Linked DNA regions of Callithrix jacchus. The protein of the gene in region 2 binds, or shares a complex with, the protein of the main gene of each other region. Links are inferred from orthologs where the notes say so. Each region holds a gene or a part of one and is shown on either strand. Other genes may lie near its edges. The genes, in order: GAR1 and WRAP53.

The links.
Region 1: WRAP53 (region 2) and GAR1 share a complex: the UniProt entries of both Homo sapiens proteins name them as parts of the telomerase holoenzyme complex. The link is inferred for Callithrix jacchus from reciprocal best matches to the Homo sapiens genes WRAP53 and GAR1.

What each region holds. Positions count from the first base shown.
Region 1 is NC_133504.1:87,417,459-87,432,897, forward strand, and holds the end of GAR1 (H/ACA ribonucleoprotein complex subunit 1), read right to left. Parts: intron 14,181-15,439; coding exon 14,026-14,180; intron 13,245-14,025; coding exon 13,185-13,244; intron 10,962-13,184; exon of another isoform or gene 10,839-10,961; intron 9,688-10,838; coding exon 9,546-9,687; intron 8,163-9,545; coding exon 8,091-8,162; intron 7,702-8,090; coding exon 7,688-7,701; 3' UTR 7,384-7,687; downstream 1-7,383. Other genes in the region: RRH (visual pigment-like receptor peropsin), read right to left, coding at 3,836-3,941. UniProt on the Homo sapiens protein: Required for ribosome biogenesis and telomere maintenance. Part of the H/ACA small nucleolar ribonucleoprotein (H/ACA snoRNP) complex, which catalyzes pseudouridylation of rRNA.
Region 2 is NC_133506.1:74,182,560-74,197,466, reverse strand, and holds the end of WRAP53 (telomerase Cajal body protein 1), read right to left. Parts: intron 8,777-14,907; coding exon 8,688-8,776; intron 7,849-8,687; coding exon 7,740-7,848; intron 7,633-7,739; coding exon 7,500-7,632; intron 6,946-7,499; coding exon 6,737-6,945; intron 6,554-6,736; coding exon 6,450-6,553; intron 6,304-6,449; coding exon 6,169-6,303; intron 6,055-6,168; coding exon 5,808-6,054; 3' UTR 5,792-5,807; downstream 1-5,791. Other genes in the region: EFNB3 (ephrin-B3), read right to left, coding at 1-133, 557-661, 770-862, 1,049-1,341, 3,309-3,443, 3,585-3,706. UniProt on the Homo sapiens protein: RNA chaperone that plays a key role in telomere maintenance and RNA localization to Cajal bodies. Specifically recognizes and binds the Cajal body box (CAB box) present in both small Cajal body RNAs (scaRNAs) and telomerase RNA template component (TERC).

The DNA.
Region 1 (15,439 bases), on a different chromosome or scaffold from region 2:
CAAGCACCAACATACAACAATACCAGCTCAGTAAAAACTTTTATCATATCTTGGCACTTCATTCAGAACTTCCATCTTAGCCTGTTATGCTAACCTTCCAGATTCCTGTTCTTTTCCCCTCCTTGCTTCTGGCAGAATCAGCTTGCTATAACATAGAATTAACCACGGTTCTTCACCTCTCGAGAACTTGTAATATTCTCCACTGGCTGTGGGATAAAATCCAAATGTCCCAACCTGATATCCAGGTTCTTTGCCTCAATCTGTTGTCACTCTCTAGAAGCAAATTTCTACACTTGTGAAACAAACTCTCTATTCTAGTTATGTCCCAGATACACCATGCTTGACTCATATTTCTCCCACTTGGAGCATCCTGCTCCTTCCTTCTGCCTATCCAAATGCCATCCATCCTTCAAACTTCAGTTCAAGCTCTTAACCCTTCTCCTATCCACACTATCCTCTCCTTCCTAAATTTCCGAATGACTTGCTTATAATATAGTCTTACGTGACTCTATATAATTTAACTGGTACTTTTCCTAGTCTTTTCATGTAGATTTCAGGCTCCTCATTATTTCTGTGGTTTTTGATTATGTGACATACAGCAGATTTATTTAACAAGTGGCTACAACTAAAACCCATATTGCTTAGTTTCTACCATTCCTTCAAGATAATTAGCACACAATGATAGCAAATTTGATAATTTGGCCTTATTTTTAGCATCTACGATTGTCGCATGTATACAAAAATACTCTGAAGAATTTAATGAAGAATCTTTCTGGGCTACCTACAGATTCAATGATTTTTTAAAAGTTAGATAAAAACAGTGCAGTAAATTGCTGCCTACCAAGTACACAACCAGAATAAAGTAACTATAATTCTGGGAGTCTTAGAAATAATGGGGGGTATGAAGTAAACAGTTTCGTGCTTTTCTCTATTCTCTCTGCAGCTGTGCCAAACACTCTGCCTTGTTTCCCCAGATGCAGGTCTTCTAATGGGTATAACAATAGATCACCTAGTCAGTAGGTTTTAGTTAAGTCCCATCTCACAGTCAGTCTAAACGCTACGTAGCACTTGAGGTTGACTTCTCTTTCACCCTTGAAACATTTTTTTCTCTTGTCTTCTGTGATTTCCATCCAATCTCTTGGACAGACCCTTCTTGATCTACTTCCTGGCCTTTCTTTCCCCATCTGACTCATTAAATATGTGCATTGTCCAACCTTCTGTCTTGGACCCCTTTCTTTTCACATACTCTGAGTGATTTCTTCATATCCAAGGCTATACCGATACTTTCCAGCCTCCGGACACTCAAACCCATGTGTCCAGCTTTTTACTGGACACCTCTCAAACTGAACTGAGAGACTTTTTCACCTGCCTCAAACCTGTTCTTCCCCAGGTGTGTTTCTATCTTGATGAAGACCATCACCATCTATTCAGTAGCTCAAAAAAAGAAACCTAGGAGTCATCTTTGATGCTTCCTCTCCTCCCACAGTCTTATCATCCAATCATCAATTCCACCTTCTAGCTCTTGAATGTATCTACTTCTTTCTGTCCCCACTGCCATTATTCCCTCCTCAGAATCACTGCAATGTCCTCCTATGTGGTTTCTTAGATACCACTATAGCGCATTTCTAAAATGCAAATCAGATCATGTCACTCTGGTTTCAAATCCTTTAGTGACTCCCTGTCACCTTTAAAACTTACATGGCTCATCACTGTCTGATACTCAGCTATCATTTCCAACATATCTCTCACCCTTCATCTTACGATTCATCCATAATGATTTATCTCAGATTCTCGAATTCACCATGTCCTCTTACCTCCCGGCCTCAATTGGGGAAAGGGAGAGTGCTCAAGGACACTAAATTAACAAAATGTCTGTCGCACTGGAAGTTGGTAACAGTTTATAGGAGCCAAAATCTAAATAAAAGATTAAATAAAAAATCTAAACAGCCTCTTGGTGAAAGTAACAAATGAAATAAATGCTTTCACTACACCCTTTCCTCATACTTTTGGTTTTGATTTGCAAGTTTACGTGGATTTTGTTAAAGGAGGAAAGTTAGGGGATCTAAAGAAAAATAGGTGCTTGATACAGGGTCAGAACAAAAGCATAAAGAGGTCAGATCTGCTTCCTTCAGTTGCTCCACAAGAAACACAAGTGAACAACACATACACATTGTATACCTTGATAAAGCTGACTCATGGAGTTATATGTGAGGGCTCTAGAAACAAAATGCCTGGGTTCAAATCCTGGTGTAGCTACTCAGATGTGTGTGTTAGACAAGATTCTTAAGTTCTTCATCAGTATAAACTAGAGAAATAAAACTGAAAAGTAACTTACTGAATTAGTGTAAGGATGAATTATCCTGTATGTGCAAGGTTTTAGAACAGTGCTTGGTATATAGCAAGTATTCAAATGATAACATTGGTAGCAGTAGTAACATTACTATTACTACTACTGTTACAGGGATAATAACTAAATAGAATATTTTCTGCATGCTAATTTTGTTACCAGGTCAAAAAAGGATAGGTCTGGTTGTTTGTTTTTGCTTTTTGGTTTTTTTTTTTTGGTCATCTACAAAAAACTAAACCAAACACTTGTATACAAAGTATTTCCATGTAATTGTTACGAGATTTTTCTCTCTTTTTTGCAATAACAAAGAAACTAGTACTTGTTTAGTACTTATCATACAGAGGTATTCAAATGAACGAGATAACATGTCACTAAAATCACAAAACTTAACTGAGGAACTCACAATTTCTAGCACTGGAAGTAATATGCTGAATTATAAGAAAGAAACGAAACAATTATAAACTGGGTATAGGATGATATGTTACACTTTTCATTCTACTTTTAAGTATGTTTGAAATTTTCATAAAAGTCCACCCAAAAAATAATGAACCCAGTATAATACAGTGACTCCTAAAACTTGTTACGGAGTATAAAGTTGAAAATTAAGTGATTGCTCAATATAAAAGTTACACAATTCAATGATACAATCAAAAGACAGAGTTTCTACTGTCATTTCCCCCATCCGTTTTTTTCTGCAAACAATCCTTTACATCAGTGAGTGTGTACAGAGGAAAGGGAAAAAGAAACAAATATTTGCCCAACACCTACTATTGGCATTTATGTATCATTTAATTTTACGCCTTATGACAATCATGACAGGTAACTTACTCTTATCCTTGTTTTACAGGTGAGAAAATGGAAGAACAAAAAGGAGAAGGAACTTGCTCACAGTTGCAAATATACTAAAACATGAAATCCAAAATTCAAGAGTTTTCCAATAAGTATTCTAGAGCAAGCTGAATTTTCAAACTCTGTCCTTAAATGACAATATACTCTGATCTGTCTTCTTAGGACTTTTTCTTTCCAGAACCTTTAAGTCCTTAGCTAAATTCTACCACAAAGAACAAAAATATGAGGATTATGTATAAGAATAGTAAATGATATAAAAATATATTTTTGCCATGGTGCATGCTCTTCTCCAATAAAAACTTTGACAATGCAATAACCAAATATATAGATTTTTATAAAAGAACTACTTATTACATAGAAAACTTTTCTCAGCCCCACTTCACTGTTCTTACATTATCAAACATCAAAATAACCCGCGACAATGGCTATCACTAATGCTTTCACCCACATTCTCTTATTTGATCTTTACAGCCCAGAAATAGAATATCATCATCCTCATTTACCACACGAGCAAGCCAAGTCGGATAAATGACTTCTTAAGGTTGGCCAATAATATGGAACTTGAAACAATGCATTCCTTATGCTGAAAACTTCTGCCTTTCTTCCCCCTAAAGAAAGATAACTGTTAAACATCCATACCTGCCATAATCAAGTAACTTGCAACAATATTGTGTTCAGTCTGTGAAAAGACCGAGCCATCTTCATTTTTAGAGTCTGAACTGTTGCCTAAATTATTTCTTAGCATTTTGGAGGGAAGATACTGAGACAGCCTTCATAATAAGCCTTTGATAATTATGAACTGTTTTATGAGCTACTGAGGAAAGATCTTTCAGGACCAATCATTTCCACTTAGAGACCTCAAAGAAGGGCCTTTTCATAGAGGCCCTCCCTTAACAAATTTAATTGGGCTAAAGAGGAAGGGATTTTAATTCCCAGAATAAGGGAAAAGCTTATTAGCAAAACAAAAAGAAATACCAAGCACTACACATTTTAACCTATTTGGGTATCAGTCTTCAGTCTAAGGAGATTATCAAGCACACACATCACAATTAAACAATAAACAAACTCAGGAAATCAGTGCAGGAGCAGACTTAAATGATTTCTGCTGGAAATCAGTTCTGATATTAAAAGCCAGTCTTAGTCCTCTGAAACTATTCAGGTTAAGGTCCCTGTTTTCTGTTGACCCTTCAAGTTTTTCCATTGTGGCTCCTTTTATTTTTTCTCCTTAATTAAAATATTAGTGATAAAGAAGTAATCTCCTTCCTACTTTCGAATCTCCCTCTCCTAAACGTACCAGTATTCTTTGGTGCATATTCTTTCTTATGCTTTTCTCTGCTTATACAAATATATATTCATACAAGTATTTAAGGTTTCTTCCACTTTTTTCTTATAAACAAAAATGAGGAAAAGAAGTAAGTATATATGTATATATATAACGCATATATAATGCAACTTGTTTTTCCCTAAGGCTGTATTATAAATTTCAGGTCAATAATCTCAGAATCTAATAAAGTCTAATTTATTAGTAGCTATATATTTCATAGCATGGATATAACATGATCAACTCCACCATCCATCTCAGTTTATTTTTCCCATAGTTGGCTGGGCACGGTGGCTCAAGCCTATAATCCCAGCACTTTGGGAGGCAGAGGAAGGTGGATCATGAGGTTAGGAGTTCAAGACCAGCCTGGCCAACATAGTGAAACCCCATCTCTACTAAAAATACAAAAATTAGCCGGGCATGGTGGCACGCACCTGTAATCTAAGCTCCTCAGGAGGCTGAGGCAGGAGAATCGCTTGAACCTGGAAGGCAGAGGTTGGAGTGAGCTGAGATTGTGCCGCTGCACTCCAGCCTGGGCAACAGAGTGAGAGGCCATCTCAAAAAAAAAATTATCCTATAGTTTGATATGCACATAATTAAAATTATCTGATGATAGTAATCATTTTATACATTGCCAAAGTATCTGAATTCAATCACTGATATGGTAAAGCAGAGTAAAAATATTCTGGGTTATCACATTATAACATGAAAACTAACCCAAACATGTTTTGTTAGAATAATAAGGTATCCCTATTACCTTTTCCCCCATATTCTTTATTCCATTCACATTATTAAAATCTGATTCTTCTCAGTTTCTTAAAATCAGTAAACATTAGAGAAATGCTTAGATGCACCAAGGTTAACAGTGTAAGCATAAAACAGAACCACTAGAGGGCTATATTTACCCACTTAATCTTTTGTAAATCCTAGAATGGCACAGAAGAAACCTAAGATAATCCTTTTGCCTCAGTTCTCTTGCCTGTGTTTAAACTCAAGGTAAACAGGTTGACTTATCTGTCCCAAATCTTATAGCCACCCATACTCACGTTGTATAAATGTAATGTTCAAGAGATCGAGACCATCCTGGTCAACATGGTGAAACCCCATCTCTACTAAAAATACAAAAAAATTAGCTGGGCATGGTGGCACGTGCCTGTAATCCCAGCTACTCAGGAGGCTGACGCAGGAGAACTGCCTGAACCCAGGAGGCGGAGGTTGCAGTGAGCCGAGATCACGCCATTGCACTCCAGCATGGGTAACAAGAGCGGAACTCCATCTCAAAAAAAAAAAAAAAAGTGAATTTGATTCAAAATAAAATGCCTCAAAAAAAAAAAACCCAGAAGCTAGGCCAGGCACGGTGGCTCATGCCTGTAATCCCAGCACTATGAGTGGCCGAGGCTGGCGATCACCTGAGGTCAGGAGTTTGAAACCAGCCTGACCAATATGGAGAAACCCCATCTCTACCAAAAATATAAAAATTAGCTGGGCATGTTGGCAGATGCCTGTAATCCCAGCTACTCAGGAGGCTGAGGCAGAAGAATCACTTGAACCCAGGAGGCAGAGGTTGCAGTGAGCCAAGATCATGCCATTGCACTCTAGCCTGGGCAAAAAGAGCAAAACTCTGTCTCCAAAAAAAAAAAAAAAAAACCAGAAACTATAAGGAAAAAAAGGGAAACGATGTCGAAATAATAGCTTAAAGATGGCCAATGACCAATGACCAAAAGATATATATATATAAGCTAAAAGATGAAATCTGCAAGTGGTTTGTCTACTGATCACATTTTATCCAACATTGCCATTATAGATTTATTTTTAATGTTTAAAAAAAAAACTGTAGAAATGTTGCACTATTACTATTTGCCCTTGGGACAATGCCATCACCCTCTAATGCTCACTAACTTCTTTTCCAAACCAAGAGCAAAAACTCTGGCCCTACACTCCATGAAAATTTCATCACCACAATTCTAAATCAAATGATCTCCTAAGCTGTAAAAGCATAACTGCCTATTCCTGTAAAAACTGTAATTTTCAACACATTCACTCATCATATATATTAATGGCCTATGTATTTATTAATCCTGCTACAATTCTATCAATTAAAAAAAGAGATAAAATCCCAAATACTGACATAGACAACACTGTATGCTCCTCAAATGAGCATTCAAGGGTTAAGCATGTTAGAAAATTTAACAAATGATGTAGAAACATCACTCCTTCTGAGAAGTGCAAAATGAATAGCAGGGTAAATAGCTCCGTATCATGGCATTGTAACTTGCTACCATGGTCATTTCTTTACACGCTACTAGCAACAGTGACCAAAACCAATTTCATTTTTAACATCATTACCCAGCAATTTGAACATGTGGTATGCAATCGATATTCACGTATAGTAAATAACACCTTAAACTTTTAGAGTCCCTTTAAAAAAGTAAAAGTGAAATAACATTCAATAAAACCTTTAATATTCCATTTATGTTGGCTGAGAAAAATTGACCGTTTCTTTAGAAATTTCTTGAACTACAGTTTTCACTTAAACAGAGCTACTCCACCTTCAATACATTGCTAATATGGAAAATTTTTAAATCAATAATTAAATGCAATTAGAGAAACAGCTTAACGGATTTATGTATTAAAACACAAAAGGGAAACACAGAGCTATGTTCTCATATGTAAAAGGCCAGGGTTTTGAAAGGGGGTATTAATTTGTAAATAAAGTACTGCTCTAGTAGCCTATTTTTTCAAAGATCAAATAGAATCAAAAAGGATTGAAAAGAAACCTTTTTTTAATCTGCAATTCACTGGGTTTAAGCTTTAGTTGTTCCTTTCTACTTCAAAAAATGGGTTTCTTTAATAAACACACTCTAAATAAGGGAATAAACACTTTATTTTAAAAATTCAAATATGCTTCAAATGAAAACTCCTGTCCATTTATTAAGCACCCACAGAGTGCCAGGCACTATACAAAACATTAAAAAGATTTGTTCATGCTCTTTTAGAGCAAAATTCACTATTCCGTTGTACTTGGCATAATGCTGACATTTTAGATCCATTGTCATAAAACGACCAAGATCTTCAAGACTTGCTCAAGAAACAAGTTTCCAATCCACAGTAGAAACAGATGACACAGGTTTATGCAGAAGTCAACTGGTGATGTCTGTCAACCATTTCACTTAATGTCCTCTCCCTAATTAAGAGAAAATTGAAGTATTAAGGGCACAGAAAATGGATTTCTTAATAGTATTATAACCTAAAACTCAAGTTTAAAATCAGCATTAGTTTCTATAATGTTTAGCAAACATATTTTACCCAATTTAACTGTCATTCATATTACACTTTCATTTTTTAAATTAATAATTAAGCAAAACCAAATTAGAATTAGGTGAAAAAAATTGAAAGGAAAAGGCAAAACAAAAAGTGATATAAAATAAAGCCACAAATTAGGCTAAGCAAAGAACATCACGGTGTGCTACATACTTGCTAGCAGAGAAAAATAAACTGAAACAAAAACAGAAAATGCCTGTTTAGTATCAATTCTAAAAATCAAGCAATTTAAAGACTTTTTAAGATACTCACCTCTGAAACCACCTCCCCCTCTTCCTCCTCGGAAGCCCCCACCTCCACCTCCTCTTCCACCTCTAAAACCACCTAAAAAACATGTATTAAATAATAATGCAAAATATTTAAATAATATAAATAATAAACATGAACAGTTATTAACTATATAACCTCTTATGCTGATAAGCCTACAAACATCAATACAATAACTATAATTACAATGAATATTCACATATTTTATCATGGAAAAAATTTTAGAAGATAAAAATGGAGGGACTGTAGTTTACCAACTTGGCAACAGGCTAAAACCCTAGATTCCTTTTAAACAAGTATTCCATTTCAATAAATTAGAAAACCTGCTACTTTAAAGTATAATTCAGTCTTGTTAAATGTACAATTATCACCTTAGTTCTTGCTTATGATAAAGACTTTTTGATTCAACGAAGGATAGTTTGATGGAATGAAGGCTTTTTATCCTAAGAACAAAGGGTGGCACCTATGGGTGCTTTTGCTCTGGGGGCATGATAATAAATATGATAGTTAAGGCTAATTGAGCTACATAGGTAAGATTTTTTAAAAATAAGATAGTTGTGAATTTTTTGAAATGTTAAATGATACTCAAATGAGAATAGGGGAATCTCTATTCATCAAATTCTCAAGAAGGTACCCCTGAAAATATTGGAGAAATATGTTGATATTTTTTAAAGATATTCCTTGCTACCTATATGGACCCAAACAAGTACATTTATGGAGTGAAATGATGATTAAATTGAGAGACGCAAAAGCGAATCGTTCCTTCTCTTTTTCTGATCCAATAACAAAAGCCCAACTTTCAGCTCCTCCCCCTTTCCACTTTGGCCCTCCCCCTACTCACAGGACATGGCAGCCCCACTCCCCAGAGCCCTGCTCATCACCTAGCTGCCAATTAATGATGAATGTGCCAAAACCTTGGGGAAACAGTGAGATCACAGCAATGAACTTATTAGTAATAGTTCTTGACATGACATCAGAAGATATGCATTTTAATTCTGGGTCTGCCAATTGTTTGATGGGGGCAAATTAATTTCTGTAAGTCTCCGTTTTCCTCATTCATAAAACAAAAATATCATCTATCTCAAAAGGTTTCACTGAGATTAGAAGAATATACAAAGAAATTAAAAGAAGGTATGACCAGCTTTCAGCATGCAGTCTATACTCAATGATAATAAAATTAAGATGATTTTATGGTTTATTAAAATGCCCAAGAAAACATGAATAACCCAAAGAAATAAAGTCCCTCAAAAGTATACTACAGTAGATTTTTTTTTTTCTGTTTAAGTTGTTGAAATGAAGCATTATTATTATGGACAATCTGTCAATATTTGAAAGCAGCTTTACCATAAGGGAGGTTTGCTATGTTCAAAACTAAATTGTACTATATGAATTTAGCTGTGACTCTAAAATCTCAACAGAAATTTTCCCCAAGTAACTTACCACCTCTGCCACCACCTCTGCCACCTCCTCCTCGTCCTCCTCCTCGGCCTCCCCTGCCACCACCTCTTGGAGGTCCTTTCTCACCTGGAGGTCGAGGTAAAAACCTCTGCAGTGGCAGCAGCTTATATGGGTCTATATAAAACTGGAAACATAATAGAAGCAATTAGTGTGATGACTTGGGGGACAGTATAATAATTCAGAAGCTACATGATAGAGTCAAAACTGACTGGGTTCCGTTTTGCAATTTAATTCTTTCCACAATGTATCTCTGGGTAAGCACTTAATTTCTTACTACCTTAGTTTTCTTTTATCTTTTTTTTTAAATTTTAAGTTCTGGGATATACGTGCAGAATGTGCAGGTTTGTTACATAGGTATACATGTGCCATGGTGGTTTGCTCCACCTATCACTTGTCATCGAGGTTTTAAGCCCGCATGCATTGGGTATTTGTCCCAGTGCTCTCCCTCTCCTTGCCCCCCACCCCCCAACATGCCCGGGTGTGTGATGTTCCCCACCATGTGTCCATGTGTTCTCATCGTTCAACTCCCACTTATGAATGAGAACATGCAGTGTTTGGTTTTCTGTTTCTGTGTCAGTTTGCCTTAGTTTTTTTATCTGTAAAATGTAGAGAATACATAACTAGCTCACATGTTTGTGTGATGATCAAAAGTGACCTATATAAGGCACTTGCAATTTGGCACACAATAAGCATTGTATGCATATAAAAAAATCAAGACCAATTCAATCTCATTTCTCTTTAGAAATAGGTTTAACATTTCCACTCAAAAGAACTGCCTTAAGAAAAATAAAACATAGCATTATCTTGAATAAAATAAAAAACATAGCATTAAAATTCAAAATAAAGCATTCACAAACTAGCTGTTTCAAGCCTTTAATAAAGATCAAAAGGGTAACTATTTTCTGAACACACAAAGTAATGAAGGATATAGAGAAACTATACCCATCCCATAATTGGGGCTAAAGAGGACATTTCTCAGATAATGAAATGTAAAGGGCATATTGTATCATAGTTCTTCTACACAAAACACATGAGGATTTCAAAACTGTGATACATTACTTAGAATAAGATACCTGAATCCCTCTCTAGCTATCACCTTATTATTCATCTTCCCTTCATAGCCCATCATCTCAAAATATTATCTAGATCTACACTGTTCCATGTGGTAGCCATGAGCCACAGGTGGCTACTTATATTTAATTATTAAAAATTCAGTTCCTGAGTTACATGAGCCACACTTCAGGTGCTCAAAAGCTACATGTCACTAAGAGCTACCTTACTGGGCAGGGATTTCCATCACTGCAGAAAGTTCAAGTAGAGGGCACTGGTCTACAGACTTCGTAATAACGCAGGCTGGGTAAGGAGGGCTGAATCTCAACATAGCAGGGGGTATGGAAACTGGGAGAGGTAGAATGTACTCAAGTTAATACCTGTAGTTAAAAAACAAAAACCGAAAAAACTAAATAATAAGCCCTCAAATAAATAATTCTGAGAAAAGGGAGAGGGATTCCAATCAATTTAAGTGGCTATTACCAGCAGTTTTTTTTCAGGTCACAAAATGGAAATCCTTTCTCAGCATTGTTTCTTTCTGGGCTCAACAGCTCCAGGCACACCTGAAGCAATTTCCTGTGAGTACTTGCCAAGGTTTCCACAACTAGCAGGCATAAGCTAACAACAAGCTATTGTCTCCTTCTCATTTCCCATTTCATTCTGGCTCCTGGGCCCACTACTGCACTGGCTCCATGATTCCCTGACGTCTACGTGGCTGTCTTCCAATGAACACTTTGCAGCATTTTGCCACAGCTGAGCAGTCTCTCCTGGAAACACTCTCAATTTTTGTGACACCATTTTTATGGCAGGCTCGTGGTTTGCCTTTTTTTTTTAAACTGGCAATTTCCACTAACTGAGTTTCCAGTAACAGACATTTAGCTTTAGGAGGTGTCCCAAAACTTCATAGGTGCTCTTTTCCTCTCATTCTTTCTTCCTACACTGTTTCATGTACTGTCTGTATACTTAACAAATTCCCAATTCTATCTCCAGTCTAGACTCTTCCTTTAAACTCCTGACGATTTGACCATCTCACAAGTACCTTCACCTCACTATGTCCAAAACCGAACTCATTATCTTTCCCCAACCCTCCTCTTCTGCATTGTTGCCCATTTCATTAAACGATACCATCACCCACAAAGATGTTGACATCAGACATCTGAAAGATGGTGATATTTTTCCCTTCTTCAATATCCATCCTGTTGATTCTACTTCCTGTACCTTTCATAAATCCACCCACTTTTTATAGTTAGAACAACTATTATAACCTCCTACCTGTCCCCTCACACAATATTGCCCTCTTCCCAAGGTGCTTTTTTATCTTCCCAGTGTTCTTCTGAAGCATACAACTAACTGTATTATCCCATTATTCAAAAATAAAACATGGCCGGGAGTGGTGGCTAACACCTGTAATCCCAGCACTTTGGGAGGCCGAGGCAGGCGGATCACCTGAGGTGGGGAGTTCGAGACTAGCCTGACCAACATGGAGAAACCCCATCTCTACTTAAAATACAAAATTAGCCGGGCATGGTGGCATATGCCTGTAGTCCCAGCTACTCAGGAGGCTGAGACAGGAGAATCACTTGAACCTGCGAGGCAGAAGTTACAGTGAGCCGTGATCATGCTGTCGCACTCCAGCCTTGGCAACGAGAGTGAAACGCTGCCTCAAGAAAAAAAGCAAAACACAATTGAAACTAAAGTCTAAACTCTTTCCTATGACCTGAAGGCTTAAGTGAATCAAGCCCCCTCCTACCTCTCTGGTCTTAATTCACAACTTTCCCAACCTCTCCTAAATGCTTCCTTCCCAACCTATACATTTGCCTTTTTATTTCCTTTCAGTTGCTTGCTGTCTCGGAGACTGCATATACTCTTTTCTCTACTTGGAATGTACTTTCCTCTTTCTCTTTGACTAGCTCAGCGCCTCTCAAGTATTTGCCTAACTACATCAAAACTATCCAAGTGCTTTTCCTTTTTACAACTGAATCCTGAACCCTACTTAAGAGCTCCTAGGTCAAATTTCCTCAAGTGGAAACTTGAAGTACATCTTCTTAAAAGCTCCCCAAGATAACTCTGACATGCAACCAGGTGTGGAAATCACTTCTAGTCAACAATCAGGCCTAAGCTTCAAGCTCACTTTTTCAGGAAACATTACTAAAGTTGGTGGCACTACAGTTTCTCATGGCAACCTGTAGTTTTCTTTCACAGCATATGCTGTTGATGTCTTGGGAAATCATTCAGTACCTACGTTCTCTCAAATAACGTAAGATTTTACCTAGAGTGTTTGGTCATTAAAGTTTTTCAATATGAGTTTTACATAAACGAAATCTCTTACTCTAGCGGTTACAGATCTTGTTAATATGAGCAAAATCTGTAATTTTTACTTTCTAAAAGGTTGTATCAAATAAATTACTTTTAAAGATTAGTATGTTCAATATTTATAGCACAGAACATTTCAGTTTAAGAGCTTTACTAGTGATATACTGGGGAAGTCTCAAGTGCCCTAAGTAGTACTTTCCTAAGATAGGTCATTCCCTTATAAAACCAAGGATCCCAAGTAACGTAAGTATGACTCACCTTCTGCAGTTTTTTAAAGGATGAAGCCTTCATATTTTCTGACAATTTAACTGAAAAATACTATTACTTTCATTAAGGAACAAATTAGCAATTAAGATGAAAGGTAATATCGAACCTTATGAATTTATGTATAATTTCAAAAACAAGATTAGAATACATGGACATATATATATGAAAAATAAAAAATGAGTTTCCAGGGGGCTGGGCGTGGTGGCTCATGCCTGCAAACCCAATACTTTAGGAGGCCAAGGCAGGTCGATCACTTGAGGCCAGGAGTTTGAGACCAGCCTGGCCAACATGGTAAAACCCCATCTCTACTAAAAACACCAAAATTAGCTGGGCAAGGTGGTACTCACCTGTAATCCCAGCTACTTGAAAAACTGAGGTATGAGAATTGCTCAAACCCAGGAGACAGAGGTTGCAGTGAGCTGAGATCGTGCCACTGCACTTCAGCCTGGGCAACAGAGTATCTATCTCAAAAAAAGAGAAAGAGGAAGAGGAAGAGGAGAGAAGAGTTTCCACAGTAGTGGGGGCACCAAACAACTTCTAATTCTACATTTCCAGAGGCACCACTATATCCAAATCAACCAACTTAATCCTGTAGGACTTATCCAAATGGCCATCATTTCTAGAACTTTCCCAAAAAAAACCTCACCTTTCTAGGGTCTGTCATTTTAATACCTATGGATGAATACATCCTCCCCTTGATTCTCCTTCATGGTCCAGTATGTAGCAATCCTGTCTAATTAAATAAAACAAGTTTAATTTATACTTAACTGCCTCAGAAAAATACAAATAGCAACCTTTGAATATTATTCAGTCTTCCAATTAAAAAGGATACAAAATCTCTAAGTTGTCCAAATATTTCATCCACTTTTCCAATTTGTTCTTTGTTTTCTAAGTAAACAGGAGCATTGAAATAAGGCACTTTATTTTCATCTGTGGTACATTTACAAACTATGTCATCTTCACAGGGATGGAGGAACTCTCCTAACACTGAAATAGAACAAGAAAATGTTAAAACATAGAACTATTTCAAATGATACTGACGAACTTCTCCTGGAAGCTTTCTTTTTGGCTACCAGCACTTCACCATATCTGCTCTCCTGTGAGGCAGAAGACCACAGTCATTAAGAGTGTGGACTTCCTGGGCTGGTTTACAGACTCCACAACACACTAGCTCTGTGACCTAAGAGAAGTCACCCACCCTCTCTCTAATTCAGTGTCTCATCTTTAGTATGCACTAATACCATATCATGTATATCTACACCTAAAAGAGTATTGTAAGGACTAAATGGAATAACAAATGTCAAGTGCTTAGAATAGTGCCTGGCACACTGAGACCATTCAACCTAAACAGTTATCTTATTATAACGTATTATCTGATTCAAAACTCTGCTTCTTTCTTCTGATTCTTCCTTGTCTTCAACCCCCACTGAATCAGACTTTGTTCTTTTTTTTTTTCTCTTGCCTTTCAACTTTCACATTCCCACTACCAACTCTTTAACAATGATTCATTTTTTTAAAGGACATCTGGAGTCTCAAAATAACTACCTTTATTTCTAACTAACTAGAGTATCACCCAAACTTAAATACTTACCACATTCCTGCAAAACCAACTCTCCATTCCCATCGCCCAAGCTCAAAACCTGAAACTTTTTATTGCCAGTATTAGCTAAGTTCTACTGATTTTGTTTCCTTTGAAATCTTTCCTATCTAACCCTTCCTCTTTTTCCTCACTGTGACCATCCTGAATCAGGCTCTCAATGCCTCACGTATGGACTGGTGCAACAGCTTCTGGGCTGGGACCTTTTATTCTAGACACTGCTCCTTTCAAATCCTCCTTAACTAGACACTGTTCATCCTCTCTCATCTTTAATGTAGTAGGCTTTACTTTCTGTGACTTCCATTCCAATCTCATTGTTAATTACTCGAAAACTGCCCTAAATGGGTCTTTTTCTCGACTTCCTCACTGGCAGTTTCCCTCTCAAGCAAATTTTTTTCTCACTTACCAACTTTTGAGTAGTAACGAAAGCATGGGCTGTGGACTCAGAATACTTGGCTTTGTATTTCTTTCTTTTCTGTACAGACAGGGTCTCTTGCTTATTGTCCAGGCTGGTCTCTAACTCCTGGCTTCAGGTGTGAGACACCGCACCCAGCCTGTATTTCAGCTGTATCACTAACTGATAACTTATCACTAACCTTAAGACCCTAGCAAAAAAAATTAACTCTGAATCACGGTTTTCTCATCTGTA
Region 2 (14,907 bases):
ATGGCACCCCCAGCCCCTGCCACGCCCAGCAAGAGCAGCGCCAGCCCCCCTGCTGCCCCAGCCACTGCGGGCATGCTGGGAGGGGGCAGGGGGCCTTCAGCACCCCGAGAGGTTGCATTGCTGGTGGGGTCACCTGGCAGGGAAGGGGTGAAGGAGGAAAGAGGGGGAGGGACTGAAGGAGCCACCTGGGCATCTGGACACCCTACCCTGGGGGCCCCCATGGGCTTCCCTTGTAGGGCCCAGGCCCCTTGGGGACCCCACCTCCTCTCCCCCGCCAAACCCCACTCAGAATCCAGGTGTCCAGCCCTTCAGCTTCCTGCCACGGAGTCCTCCCCACTTCTCTGACAGCACTGATTGAAGCACTGACTTGGCTAATTAGTTCTAATTGAGTCTTTTCCTCATTTGGCTTCCATTCCCCTCCCACCCTCCTGTCCTCTCTTCTCCTCTTTCCTGTATCACCGCCCCCAAAACTGAAGAGGGAGGGTGATGGCAGGGCAGCTGGGGTCTGAGAGCAGAGGAAGCTGGGGAAGGCGGGGGGCTGGACCCTGGTTCCTACCTGGCACATTCTCCTTCCCAGGCTCCAGGCTGTGGGCTGCCCCTCGGTCTCTTTCCATGGGTATTTCAGACACAGGTTTTCGGGGAGCAGCCCCTCCTTGGGGACCTGAGATGAGGAAGAGCAGAGAGAGGCACTGAAACAACCGCCCTTGACCATGATCGTCCTGCCCCAATGTCCCTCCCATCCCGGGAGGTGTCCTCCAGCCCTACTCACTTTGTCCCACTCGGAGAAGCACCTTCATGCCTCTGGTTAGGCATACGCCTCCCTGCAGGCTCTCCAGGCCCTCCCGGGTCCCATCGGATGTGGCTGGGAGGGAAAAGCCAGAGGGAGAGGTTGGCACTCCAGAGTCTAGCCGGGTTCTGGCCCCACACCCTGGTGTGAACACTGCCTGAGGGCACTGGGGTCTTCCTCTTGGCTCCAGTGGTCCCCCTCCCTCTCTGCTCAGTGTCAGGAGCAGCCCCCAACTCAGTTGTGCTCTCTGCCCAGCAGTACCAATGATGTAGTAATCGTGGTGTGAGCGGAACTCGTGGCCCCAAAGGTTAGGGCTGTACTCCTGGAACTTGATGGTGAAGCGGAGATCCAGGTCTGGCCGATCACAAGTGAGAAGGAGGTTTGGAGCAGGGGGTGCCTCACAGCGCCGGCCCTGGGCACCCCCTACCAGGTACAGCTTGTAGAACTCATAATTAGGAGAGGAGTGGGGGCCAGGAGGCCGGGCCCGGGGGCAGAGCAGGTCTAGCCGGTCCCCGATCTGAGGGTAGAGTACATAACCACCCTCTGCCTGGAACCTATGGGGAGAAGGGTGAGGTGGACAAGGAAGAGATGTCAGAGGCCTGGCCCCCAGAGCTTTCCCTCCCTCACCCCGAAACCCTCCAGGACAACAATCCTCAGCTTACGCCTGCCCGCCTTTGTCTGAGTGGAAAGTCTGTTCTTACAAGCAGGCACCAAGGACTCTTCCAGTGCGTTCACACTGGAAGCAGCAGGAAGCCAGGCTCAGAGGTCTCCTGCCCCTTGGTGTGCCCAAATGCACTCTTCAGCCTGCCCTCACCACATGCACACTGCCATCTCCCGCTCCATCACCAGCCCTGTTGCCATGGCAACAGGATGCCAGTTACCAAGGAGCTGGCCTCTCTGGAACCACACAGCCCACCCCTCCCAGGTGATTTCACTATTCCATGGCAGCCAACCATGGGGGCAAAGCCTCCCCTCCTCCAGGCCACCACTGAATTTCAGGGATTTCAGGGCATAGGAAATGGGTCAGGGAGGGGCTGTGTGGAGGGTGATCCAGACCAGTGTCTTAAATTAGCCAGGTAATAGGACGGAGGGCAAATGCCCGGTTTGGCCATGACCATCAATGGGGCTGATGGGAACCAGGGTCTAGAGACCTGCTGCCTGAGTCATTCTCCTGCTCAGAATCCCACCCTGGGTCTTAGACTTCCTGGGGCAAATGCCCTATTGCTTTGGAAAGGAAAGGAATTGACTTTTCTAACCACGACCAACACAGTTCACCATCTCCTTGGCCAGAGCACCCAGGCATCCACTGTCCCAGCACAGCCGCAACTTGCCAACCCTGCAACCCCTTCCTGGGCATTAATAGCTGAGACAGGGTCTCAGGACTGGATCCCATGGGACTGCTACTTGACATCTTCTCAGACTCCCAAGTGTCCCACTCCCATCCCACATCCAAAAGAGCCCCCAGGACACCCCAACTCCCTTTTCTCTACCCTGTGAAAATAAGCTTATGTTCTCAAGCTACACACCTAATACTCAAACTGCAGCTGGGAGTTGGCAAGTGGGTGACTGAGTACAGAAAAGACATTGAGATTATACCCAAAGAGATCCGGGAGACAGAGAGGGAGGGATGGCAGGGCAGGGAAATGTGAGGGAGTCTGGGAACTAAAGAGTGGAACAATAATCCAAACTCTCCATTAATGAGCACATAATAAATTTCAACATCTTACCGCTAATCCCGGTAATAGCTGTAAGGATTAAGGATACAAACTCAGAAAGGTTAAGTGACATGCCCAAGGCCACACAGCTTAAAGCAGCAGAGCTATGATTAAGACCAAGGATTTGATGAGCTCCAAAGCCCACCCGCTTCCCATGGCCTCACACAGTCTCCCCAGGGAAGTAGGAATTCTTCAAAACACAGAACTCTTTTCTGAGTGGCAAGTGGGATCTGCATGTAGGCAAGGGACCCAGATGACCTCCCAAAGGTTCTGTCCTACCCAGTGTGACTTGAAGTTTCATCTGACCCCTGGCCTCTTTTCAGAGCAAAGCAGGCATGCCACGGAACAGAGGGTCTGATGGAAGAGTTTGGATCAAAGATTGGGGGAGGGGGCAATGGAGTCCTCAGGACTCCAGATGCAAAAGGGAAGGAAGGAGGGTTCAGTGGGCTGGAGGCTTCTTCCAGAAAGATGCCTGCAAGCCAGGAAGGCAGGAATATGTTCTGGCTGGGAAATCGTTCAGCCAACAGTTCACCAACCCTCTGGCTGTGCAGAAGAGTTGGGAGACAGACTGTCAAAGATTGTCAAAGAGCCTTGGGGAAGTTGTCCCCAGAGTCCCCAAACGAAACCCCCTTGCCTCCCATCTTAGACGCTGAGTTCCTCCAGCGGGGAGGGAGGCACCCTGCCCTGCCTTCCCCTCAGCGACTCGCAGCACCTTATCTGCAGCTCTCTCCTGAGAGCTGACAGTAACCAGGCTCCCTCCAAGCCCAGCCCCCCAACGCAGGCCTCCCATAGATCCAAATACCCACCTCACTGCCCTCCTGGCTACCCATGAACTTTCTTCTCCTTGCCCCTTCGGGGTCTCCAAACTCCTGACACATCCATAGCACCACCTGCATCCAGCTCTGCATGGGACCCGGAGTCTGGCTCCCAAGATCACCTGTCTAGTAACCCATCACACATCACAGCACCAGCGCCTTCCCTCCCGCCTCCTCCCTGCCCACAGAAGCCAGCCCCCAAAGTCCCCAAAGCTTCCCTACCCACTGCCCTAGGGTCTGGGGTCTCCCCGGCCCCAGGCCGCTCACCTCTTATTCGCCGAGTTCCAGTAGACAGGTTCCAGACTGAGCCCAGACACCAGCCCCAAAACGCCCAGCAGCAGCAGGGCCCCGATTCGCACGCCCCCCGGCCCAGAATGGGGGGGCCCCATGACCCCGCCAAGGCCTGGGGGGCGGGGCACCAACTCCCCCAAAGTCGCTCACCCCTTGGGGTGGCTGCCTTGGCTGCCTGACTCTTCAGCCCGGACCACCCCGGTGGCTGATGCCCCCAGCGCCCACGCGGACCTGCCTCTTGCTGTGCCCGCGCCCCCGCAGCAGAGCGCTCAGTCCCACCAGAGCCCTTCCAGGGGCCGTCTGCAGGCGCCCTACGCGCCCCCGGCCCACGCGCCAGCACCCCGGGATCTGTGAGCCCGCCTAAGTGGGGGACTGGGGGAGCCGGGGTCTGGGCGGGGGCGGCATGGGGCGTCGGACCACGGAGCGAGGAAGGGGGCGCTGAGCCGGAGCCCCAGCCTCGCCGGGATTGAGGGCAGCGGGCTAAGGGAGGAAACCAGTCCCGAGCCCAGGAGGGGGGAGTTAAAGGAGAGGCGGGGAGGGGGAGAGGATGGTGGAGGGAAAAACCGGAGCTGGAGCTCGAGGCGGAGCGGGCGGCAGCATCCCGCGGCCCACGCCCCCCACACCTCCCTCACCTCGCGCACCTCCCGCCCGCCGCCCCGCCTCAGCCCCCGGCGCGGGCTCTCACGCCCCCTTTGTCTCTCCGAGCCTCTGGCTCCGGCTGAGTTCTGCCCGTCTCCCCTCCTGCCCTCCAATTGCCCAAGCTGCTGGAATCTTCCTCTCTCGAATCCAGAAAGGCTCTCGCCCTCTCCACCCAGAGGAACCCACCCCTTGTGCTCCTGCATCCTCCTCCGTCCCAAAACAACACCGCTGCTCCCGGCAGGTCTGGAGAGAATAATAATAACCTTGACGGCTTGGCAATTTACAAAGTGCGGCGGAGCTGATCGTCACGACTACCTGTGTGAAGTGGCAGGGGCAGAGCTAACGATCCCATTGCAGTGATGAGGAAACTGAGGCTCAGGGAGACCCCCATGACTTGCCCAAGGTCACACAGGAAGTCTAGGATAAAGCTAGAGACCAAACCCAGGCTGTTCAACTCCCACTACTGGGGTCTCTTTTGTCACCACTCCATGGACCTACCGTGTGCTGTTAACCTGGGGGTTAGTGGGACAGGAGTTTAGGGGATACACTTGGGCCTTTCCTAGATGGCTGGGGGGAGAAGCCGGGCTTGGAGAGGCAGGGGCATACCTACAACCCCAAATCGGCACTGCCGCAGGAAGGGCTGTTTCCAATTATCCTGGGGGAAGGGAGGAGTTGCCTTTTCGGGGGTAAGAGCCCTGGCTTTCAGCACCTCTGGGCAGGGGTGACATTCCTCTCCTCTCTCAAGCCTCCACAGGCCTTTCCTCCCTTCCCTTTGTGAGGTCCAAAATCACATCCCCTGCTGGCGGTATCTCTTCAAAGGCCCCCCATTCTCAGTGTTTGGGAAGGTGTTGGGGGGAGGAGGGAGGAGTCACTGCTTCAAATGACACACTCGTCCCCCACCCCCAAAGACAGAACAGACAAATGGGGAAACAAGCCCAGCGACAGCTGCTGAATAAGACCCTTGCCATGCCCTGCATCTAACGGCAATACCAAAGGTGACGACTGTATATTTTTTGACACGTTTACTCTTTCGTGTGTCCTTGACTCTGGCAACTGGGTTGTCTGCCTCCTGGAGAGCCCTGGGGAGGGGAGGGACAGGTTCCTGCTCCCCTCAGAGCTGAGTAATGGTCCCTGTGCTGCTGGAACATGGCAAACAGTGTGGAATTTAGGTGACGGTCACCCTGTCACTGTCTGCACAGTCTCACACGGTCACACCCAACAGTCTGACCCAGCTTCTGCTCAGCCTGGCTCACCCTGACCCCTGCTGCCCCCACCTTGGGAGTGAGATTTCAAACAGGTTTCCCCCTTCAGTTTACCAAGTTGCCTAGCAACCAACCAGTCAATGGCATGAAGCCCCACCCCCACCCACTTGACTTCACACCAAGCTCAGCCACCCCATTGGCTCCTGCCTAGTCCCACCTCTCGATCCCTGGTTTCAGGAACAATATGCCATACCCACTGCTGCTGGACAAGGGAGCCCGCCAGTTCCCCTGCCCGCTCCCACCTCACTCATGTGCCTCCCCAAACAGACACAAAGACTCTAGTATCATAAAAACCTTTTTACATAAGCTCACTGTCACCTCCCTCCATCCCTCCCTGCCCTTTCTCGCCATGGTGGTCATCAGGGATGCTGGGGTCTGGGCCCCCCCCACACCACCAGAGCTGAAGCCGACATTCAAGGTGGACATGGCGCGTAGAGAGCAGGGGAAGGCCCAGCTCTGGCTCCCCTTCGTCCCCACTCTCTGTGGGCTCTGGAAACACACGCTGACCGGAGGCGGTAGCCAGGAGAGGCAGGCTAGGGTGCAGGCTGAGGGAGAGATGAGAGGGTCTGTCAGCACCTTCAGTAAGAACACTTGCTCCCTCTGGGATTCACCTCCTTCCCCAACCCAATCCCCAACATCTCTGGAATTGAAGTGAGGACCTCACGCCATTGGTGCAGTCCTTTTGGGGCAGAAAACTCAATACAGGCTCCGGCTTCCCATCATTGCCAGGCCCGCCCGTGTCCCACACTTGGACGGCCCCGCTCGTGCTGCCACTCACTAGGAACTGCCCAGTCCTGGAAGAGAGAGGAGAGATTTGCTGGCAGAGGCATCATCCCCGGGGCAGGAACTCCCCACACCCAGGGGCTGGGACCCCACAGCTGAGCCCTGACATTCCTAGGCTTATCAGGGCCCTGTGTGGGAAGGAGCCACGGCCACTCACGGATCCACATGGAAATAGATGCGCTGATTGGTGGTCACCTCTCGACTCAGGGACCACAGTGGGTAACCAGGCTGCCGGAGATCCCAGCACAGGAGCTCAGCATCCTAGAGACACAGAACAGGACCTGGAGTGGCCCCCCAAGCCCTAGATGTCCCTGCCTCCCTCAGGGTCTCCAGGCACTCCGTCAGCTTGGGATTTCTCCCCATCCCCATCACCATCCCCCTGCACTGCAGACTACATCCCCACTCCTGCCCAGCTGCTTTGAGCTCTCAGAGTATGACCCCTACCTTGCGGGCTCCTGAGAAGAAGCGGTTGCCATCGGGGTGAAAGCAGAGGTGAGTGATGCCCCCTTGGTGCCCTCCCAGCAAGGCAAGAGGGGAGCCATCATCCCAGGCATACAGACCCAGGGAGCGGCCGTAGGAGCCACAGGCATAGAGGGGCTGAGCTGGGCTGAAGGCTATGCAGGAGATGATGCCACTCTGGCCCTGCCTTTTTGCTAGAGAGGGAAGGAACAAAGTGGGGAAGGGGCTGTAGCTCCTGGCCCCACCAAGCAGAGCTCTGTCTCCCATCCCAGCACCAGCATGCTTGCACTCAACACATCTCCCCCACGCTGTTTGTCAGGAGCAGGATAAAGACCTCTGATGCTTCCCACATCTATCCTCCCAAATGACCTAAACACCAAGCCCCACGCCCACTTCATCCCTCTCAAATTCCAGTTTTTCCTTGGAGAGATGCAAGTTGAAGGCCTACAGGAAAACAGAATCAGCTTCATGAAAAATTTTCTAGAAAGATTTCAGAGACCAAAAGCTCCACAGCTGACAGGGCATGGGTTCAGGAATTAAGCCGTCCTCTGACCGGCTGGTTGACCTTGGGGAGGTTTCCTACATGCTCTGAGTCTGCTTTCTCCTCTGTCAACTGGGCTGCAGCTGCCTCCCAGGGTTGTACACATGACGGCATGAAACTCCACAGGTGGCCCCTGGCTCACACAAGGACCTATGCAGGAGGCAGCACGCTTCTCTCTCCACCCCCCATGGAGGCACAGATGCTTACCAAATGTGGCTCGGACCTCGCAGTCTCGGCCGGGTCGGGCCGTGGAAAAAACACGCACAGTCCGGTTGAACCCACAGAAGAGTTGGGAGCCATCCGGGGAGAAGCAGAGTGAATGGGCTGCTGTCAGCTCATCCTGGGAAAAGAAAAGGGCTGAAAACATGTCTTGCAAAGCCTCAGCTTCCCTAAAGGAAGGAGAGCCAGGCCAGCAGAAATACTAGGGCTGAGTGTGAAGGTCCCTACCAGGTGGTTGTAGGCACGAAAGGAAGCCCGGAGCTCTCCAGTGAATGCGTCCCAGATATGAATAGGGTTCTCCCGGCTGCTGCTGGCTACACTGAGAGAGACATGGACACTGAAACCCTTGTGCTGTCAAAGGAAGGGGAGGAATGGCCGGGCGCGGTGGCTGACGCCTGTAATCCTAGCACTTTGGGAGGCCGAGGCAGGTGGATCACCTGAGGTCAGTTCGAGACCAGCCTGGCCAACATGGTGAAACCCTGTCTCTACTAAAAACACAAAATTAGCTGGGTATGGTAGTGCATACCTGTAATCCCAGCTACTTGGGAGGCTGAGGCAGGAGAATTGCTTGAACCTGGGAGGTTGAGGTTGCAGTGAGCCGAGGTTGCACCAGTGCACTCCAGCCTGGATGACAGAGCAAGACTCTGTCTCAAAAAAACAAAAATACAGGGCAGGTGCGGTAGCTCATGCCTGTAATCCCAGCACGTTTGGAGGCTGAGGAGGGTGGATCACGAGGTCACGAGTTCGAGACCAGCCTGGCCAACATGGTGAAACCCTGTCTCTACTAAAAATACAAAAATTAGCCAGGCAAAGTGGGTACTCAGGAGGCTGAGGCAGAAGAATTGCTTGAACTCAGGAGGTAGAAGTTGCAGTAAGTAGAGATCACACCACTGCACTCTAGCCTGGATGACAGAGCAAGACTCCATTTCAAAAAAAAAAAACAAACAAACTTAGCTGGGCATGGATTGTGCCACTGCACTCCAGCCTAGGTGACAGAGTGAGACTCAATCTCAAAAAAGAAAAAAGAAGGGGAGGAAGCCAACTGACCAGCCCCTCTGATGAGCATGACAAGCTTTCCTCTTCTGAAGGACCCTGGCAGCCCTTGACTCTCCCAAGAGGACCCGCTTGAAACTGGGAGGTGGGGTGGCGAACAGAGAGGCAAAGGACATTACTTACTAGGAGGTGTCTGGCTGGGCTGAGGACATCAGAGAATACCAGCAGTAATCATAGATGGTATCACCTTCCACCATTCGAAGGACAGGGACCTAGACAGAGATGTACAAATGCCTGAGTCACTCGGAGGGAAACGGTGTCTGAGGCATGTGCCTCTAGCAGTGTTGTGGCAGATGGGGTGTATATACGGAGCAGAGACTCTGTCTCAATGTTCAAGGGCGAGCTCAGACTTTAATGTCAGATTTAGCCACCAAAAGCCATATAGATTCATACTTTTTCTTTTCTTTTAAAAAGGTTTTGAGATGGAGTTTCATTCCTGTTGCCCAGGCTGGAGTGCAATGGTGTGATCTCGGCTCACAGCAACCTCTGCCTCCCGGTTCCAATAGATTCTCCTGCCTCAGCCTCCCAAGTAGCTGGGATTATAGGTATGCTCAACCACGCCAGGCTAATTTTGTATTTTTAGTAGAGACAGGGTTTCTCCATGTTGGTCAGACTGGTCTTGAACTTCTGACCTCAGGTGATCTACCCACCTCAGCCTCCAAAAGTGCTGGGATTACAGGTGTGAGCCACCATGCCCAGCCTCTTACTTTTTCTTTTTAAACACTTAGAGAGGAAGAAACAAATAATAATACCCCAACCCAGACACAAAGAACTAACCAGTAATTCAAATATTTACTGAGTACATGTTAGGTGCCATTTGACCCTTTAAAAAAATATTAGCACAAAAATTAGCCAGGCATGATGGCAGGCCCCTGTAATCCCAAATACTCGGGAGGCTGAGGCAGGAAAATCCCTTGAACCCAGGAGGTGGAGGTTGCAGTGAGCTGAGATTGCACCACTGCACTCCAGCCGGGGCAACAGAGAGAGACACTGTCTAAAAAAAAAAAAAAATCCATCAGCAGGGCACAGTGGCTCACACCTGTAATACCAGTACTTTGGGAGGCTGAGGCAGGCAGATCACTGGAGCCCAGGAGTTCAAGACCAGCCTGGGTAATATAGTAAAACCCTGTCTCCTCGAGGAAAAAAAAATTATCTAGGCATGGTGGCACATGCCTGTAGTCCCAGCTGCTAGGGAGGTTGAGGCATGAGAATCACTTGAGCCCAGGAGGCAGAGACTGCAGTGAGCCCAGATGGTGCCACTGCACTCCAGCCTGGGAGACAGAGTGAAAAGCTGTCTCAAAAATACAAAAATGAAAACAAAAAAAGTAACTTCCCTATAAAAATGAAGGAAAAAAAGTAAGCAGTTCAAACATCCAGCTGAAGAAAAAACTATGTTTAAACCCCTTTCCTAACAGAAACTCTCCCTCAGAGGTAAACAATATACTGAATTTATCATTGTCATACATTTATTTAGGACTATATTATACTTTATTTATTTTTAAGGCAGAGTCTCACTGTGTCACCCAGGCTGGAGTGCAGTGGCACGACCTTTGCCTCCAGGGTTTAAGTGATTCTTGAGCGTCAGTAGCTGGAATTACCGGAGTTCACCACCACACCTGACTAATATTTTTTTTCTTTTTTTAATTTTACTTTAGGTTCTGGGGTACATGTGCAGATTATGCAGCATTGTTGCATAGGTACACACATGGCAAGGTGGTTTGCTACCTCCATCCCCCCATCACCGACTAGTTTTTGTATTTTTAGTAGAGACATGGTTTTGCCATCTTGGCCAGGCTGGTCTCAAACTCCTGGCCTCAAGTGATCCACCTGTCCCAGCCTCTCGAAGTGCTGGGATTACAGGTGTGAGCCACTGCGCCCGACCTAGGAATATATTCATATGGGAAATTTGTGAAAAAAAACAGTATCTAACGTTCTCTGGCAGGTCATTATACTTAGTTTTTTCTTTTGTTAGAGACAGGGTCTTGCTCTCTTGCCCAAGCTAGAGTGCAATGGTGCAATCATCTCACTGTGACCTCAAACTCCTGGGCTCTAGCAGTCCCCCAGCCTCAGCCTCCCTAGTAACTAGGAAGACAGACACATGCCACCATGTCTGGCTAATTTTTTAAATTATTTTTTTGTAGATCAGGGGTCTATGTTGCTCAGGCTGGTCTAAAACTCCTGGCCTCAGGCAATCCACCCACCTCAGCCTTTCAAAGCACTGGGATTACAAGCATGAGCTACCATGCCCAGCCTACACCTAACAGTAATGATATCATATCATATGTATCCTTCTGTGATAGTGAGCTTTAACCATGGTAACACATTTTGCTGTAATTCATACCTTTTCACTGCTGTACAGTACTCCACTCATGAATACATTCAAACTGATTTACCCTGCTTCTGTTGAGTCACTGACGTCGTTCTATTTTTTGGCTAGTGTGCTTTAACATTCTGTACATATGTAGAAGTGTTTCTCTACAGTTTCTGCTGATGAGTGAAATTACTGGTCTCTATGCTATGCACTTTGCCAACTTTGTAAGATACTATAATGTCCATTTCTTTCCCAAAGCACTCATCCCAATGTCCTCTCCCACCAGCAGCATGTAGGAATCTCTATTCTAGCCTGGGCAATATAACAAGACCTCAATTTTACAAAAAATTAAAAAATTAGGCATGGTGGCATGCTTGTAGTCCCAGCTGTTCGGGACGCTGAGGCAGCAGGATTGCTTGACCCCAGGAAGTTGAGGCTGCAGTGCACCATGTTTGCACCACTGCATCCCAGTCTGGGCAACAGAGCAAGATCCTGTCTCCAAAAAAAAAAGGATCGTTCTTTATCCTCTTAGTATTGCCAGACTTTTACATATTTCTTAATATGAAGGCAGTGAAATGGGCTTTCATTACAGCATAAATTTCTATTTCCATCATTACTGTAAGAGAGTTTAGATATTTCCTCTATGCTTACTAGCCATTAGGTGTATCTTTTCATAAATTTTGCTCATTTTCTTTCTTTCTTCTTTTCCTTCCTTCCTTCCTTCCTTCCTTCCTTCCTTCCTTCCTTCCTTCCTTCCTTCTTTCCCTCCCTCCCTCCCTCTCTTCTTTCTCTTTCTTTCTTTTCTTTCTTCTTTCTTCTCTCTCTCTCTCTCTCTCTCTCTCTCTCTCTCTCTCTCTTTCTTTCTTTCCCCCCAGGCTTTTGAGTCTTGCTCTATCCGCTGGAGTGTGCAATGGTGCAATTTCAGCACACACTGCAACCTCCGCCTCCAAGGCTCAAGCAATTCTTGTGCCTCAGCCTCCCAAGTAGCTGGGATTACAGGCACCCACCACCACGCCTGGCTAATTTTTGTATTTTTAGTAGAGATGGGGTTTCGCCATGTTGGCCAAGCTGGTCTCAAACTCCTGGCCTCAAGTGATCTGCCTGCCTCGGCTTCCCAAAGTGCTGAGATTACAGGAATGAACCACCGCACCAGGCCAAATTTTGCCCATTGTTCTACTAGGTTGTTTTGTTTTTTGTTTTGGGGGGGTTTTGTTGTTTGTTTGAGACAGTGTTTTTCTCTGTTCCCCAAGCTGTAATATAGTGGCACAATCTCTGCTCACTACAACCTCTGCCTCCTGGGTTCAAGCAATTCTCATGCCTCAGCCTCCCAAGTAGCTGGGACTACAGGCAGTTGTCACCAAACCCGACTAATTTTTATATTTTTTAGTAGAGACAGGGTTTTACCATGTTAGCCAGGCTGGTCTTGAACTCCCGGCCTCAAGTGATTGCCCACCTCCACCTCCCAAAGTGGGGATTACAGGCATAAGCCACTGCACCTGGCCAATTGTTGCCTTTTTCTTACTGATTTGTAAGAAATATTTAAATAGTCTGGACATCCGTCCTTCATCAGTTATCTGCTGGCCCTCAGGCTGATGTCAACCCACCATGACTTCAGTGTCCCCCCTCTACCCTGAACCCATATATCCAACTGCCTGGTGGACAGTGCCACTTGACCATCCCACAGGATCCTCAAACTCAATTTGTCCATAATGGGCCCAGCATCTGCTACCGTCAAACCTGCTGTTCCTCCTGGACTCCACAACCAGTGCTCAATCCTGAAATCTGAGTACCAGCCTTTACTGCTACCATCTTCACTTTCTTTCCACTCCTGGTCCAACCCAATACCAAATCTTGCCAGTTCCTCCTCCTAGCCTTCCATTACCATGCTGCTACCCCGACCCACCTCTCAAAGCTCATCTCTATCTGCTCATTCTCTTAAAATCTCTGAGTCCTGCCATTTTGACTCTCAGGTCCCATAAGGTGCCAACTCGCTACACTTTCAATCTACTAGCTTTCACATGTCCTAGGCTCCAAGTCTGGAATATTCTTCCTTCATCTCCCTTAACGACTCCTCCTGGGTGACTCCTAATCATCCTTCAGGTCTCTTTGATGCTTCTTCCTCTGGGAATGCTTCCCTAACCCCTCCAGCTGAACAAGGCACCCCTGCTCCACTTTCCTATAGTCTTCAGTGCTCCCCACCCTGCTTCCATCATACCTATGGGAAAAGGAAGGAATCTCATCTGCCTTGCTCTCACCACTGCTTCCCCAACACCTGGTGCAGAATCAGCAGTCAGTAAACATGGGTTTAATGAGCAAAAGGAGGCAGGGGACTGTTTCAGCAGCATAAGGCCCAAAATAATAGGACCTTGAATTAAAGTAGCAGTGGTGGAATAGACAGATGTGAATGGATTAGGAAGATAAGGTGGACCTGATGGGATTTGGTAAGTATTGGGAGGCAGAGGCAGGCGGATCACTTGAGGTCAGGAGTTGAGACCAGTCTGGCCAACATGGTGAAACCCCAGCCTCCAAAGTAGCTGGGCTTACAGGCACATGCCACCACACCCAGCTAATTTTTGTATTTTTAGTAGAGAAGGGGTTTCACCATGTTGGCCAGGCTGATCTCGAACTCCTAACCTCAGGTGATCCGCCCACCTCAGCCTCCCAAAGTCCTGAGATTACAGGCATGAGCCACCATGCCTAGCCTTTTTTTTTTTGAGATGAAGTTTTCTCTTGTTGCTCATTTCTACTAAAAAAACAAATATTAGCCAGGCATGGCGGCATATGCCTGTGATCTCAGCTGCTTGGGAGGCTAAGGCAGGAGAAACACTTGAACCAGGGAGGCAGAGGTTGCAGTGAACCCAGATCGCACCATTGCACTCCAGCCTAGGTGACGGAGCAAGACTGTCTCAAAAAAAAAAAAAAATTTTCTCTTGACAGAAGAACCTCCCCCAAAATACATGAAGATAATTTGTTCACTAAAGAATAACTTATGATATAATAATCCTGAAAACAACCCCAATGTCCAAAACAGGAGGTAAGAAAATTATCATAAGCACTCAATGCAATATCATACACCATTAAACAACATAACTGTGAAGACTAGACTACCATGAAAAACATTTAGAATATGATTGTTCAAAGGAAAAAAGGCATGTAGAAAACCATGTACTATATGATTACACCCGCATGAAAGCTTTCAGTATTTGAACAGAGCTTAGAAAGAAATGTAGAAAAATTCGGAGGGCTAAATTCTGCAGTGGCAGGTAATAATGATTTTTTTCTCTTTTTAACATTCCCATTTCTTTCTTTTTATTTATTAATTTATTTTTTGAGATGAAGTTTCACTCTTGTTGCCCAGACTGGAGTGCAATAGCATGTTCTCGGCTCATCGCAACTTCCATTTCCTGTGTTCAAGTGATCTCCTGCCTCAGCCTCCTGAGTAGCTGGGATTACAGGTGCATGCCACCACACCCAGCTAATTTTTGTATTTTTTGTAGAGACGGAGTTTCACCATGTTGGCCAGGCTGGTCTCACTCCCAACCTGATGTGATCTGCCAGCCTCGACCTCCCAAAGTACTGGGATTACAGGCATGAGCCACCACGTGCAGACTTTTGTTTTTGTTTTTTTGAGACGAAGTTTTGCTCTTGTTGCCCAGCCTGGGTTGCAATGGCATGATCTCGCCTCACCGCAATTTCCACCTCCCCAGTTCGAGCGATTCTCCTGCCTCAGCCTCCCGAGTAGCTGGGATTACAGGCATGCACCACCGCGCCTGGCTAGTTTTGTATTTTTAGTAGAGATAGGGTTTCTCCATGTTGGTCAGGCTAGTCTCGAACTCCCAACCTTGGGTCATCCACCCACCTCAGCCTCCCAAAGTGCTGGGATTACAGGTGTGAGCCACCACACTCAGCTCCCATTTCTCTTACAATTCTGCAATATTCAACCTCCCTACATTTCCAGAGTCTCTTCTAACTATCCCTGCCTTGAAACAACCTCTCCCCTCCTGAACTCCGAGCCTTAAGAAAACACCTTAC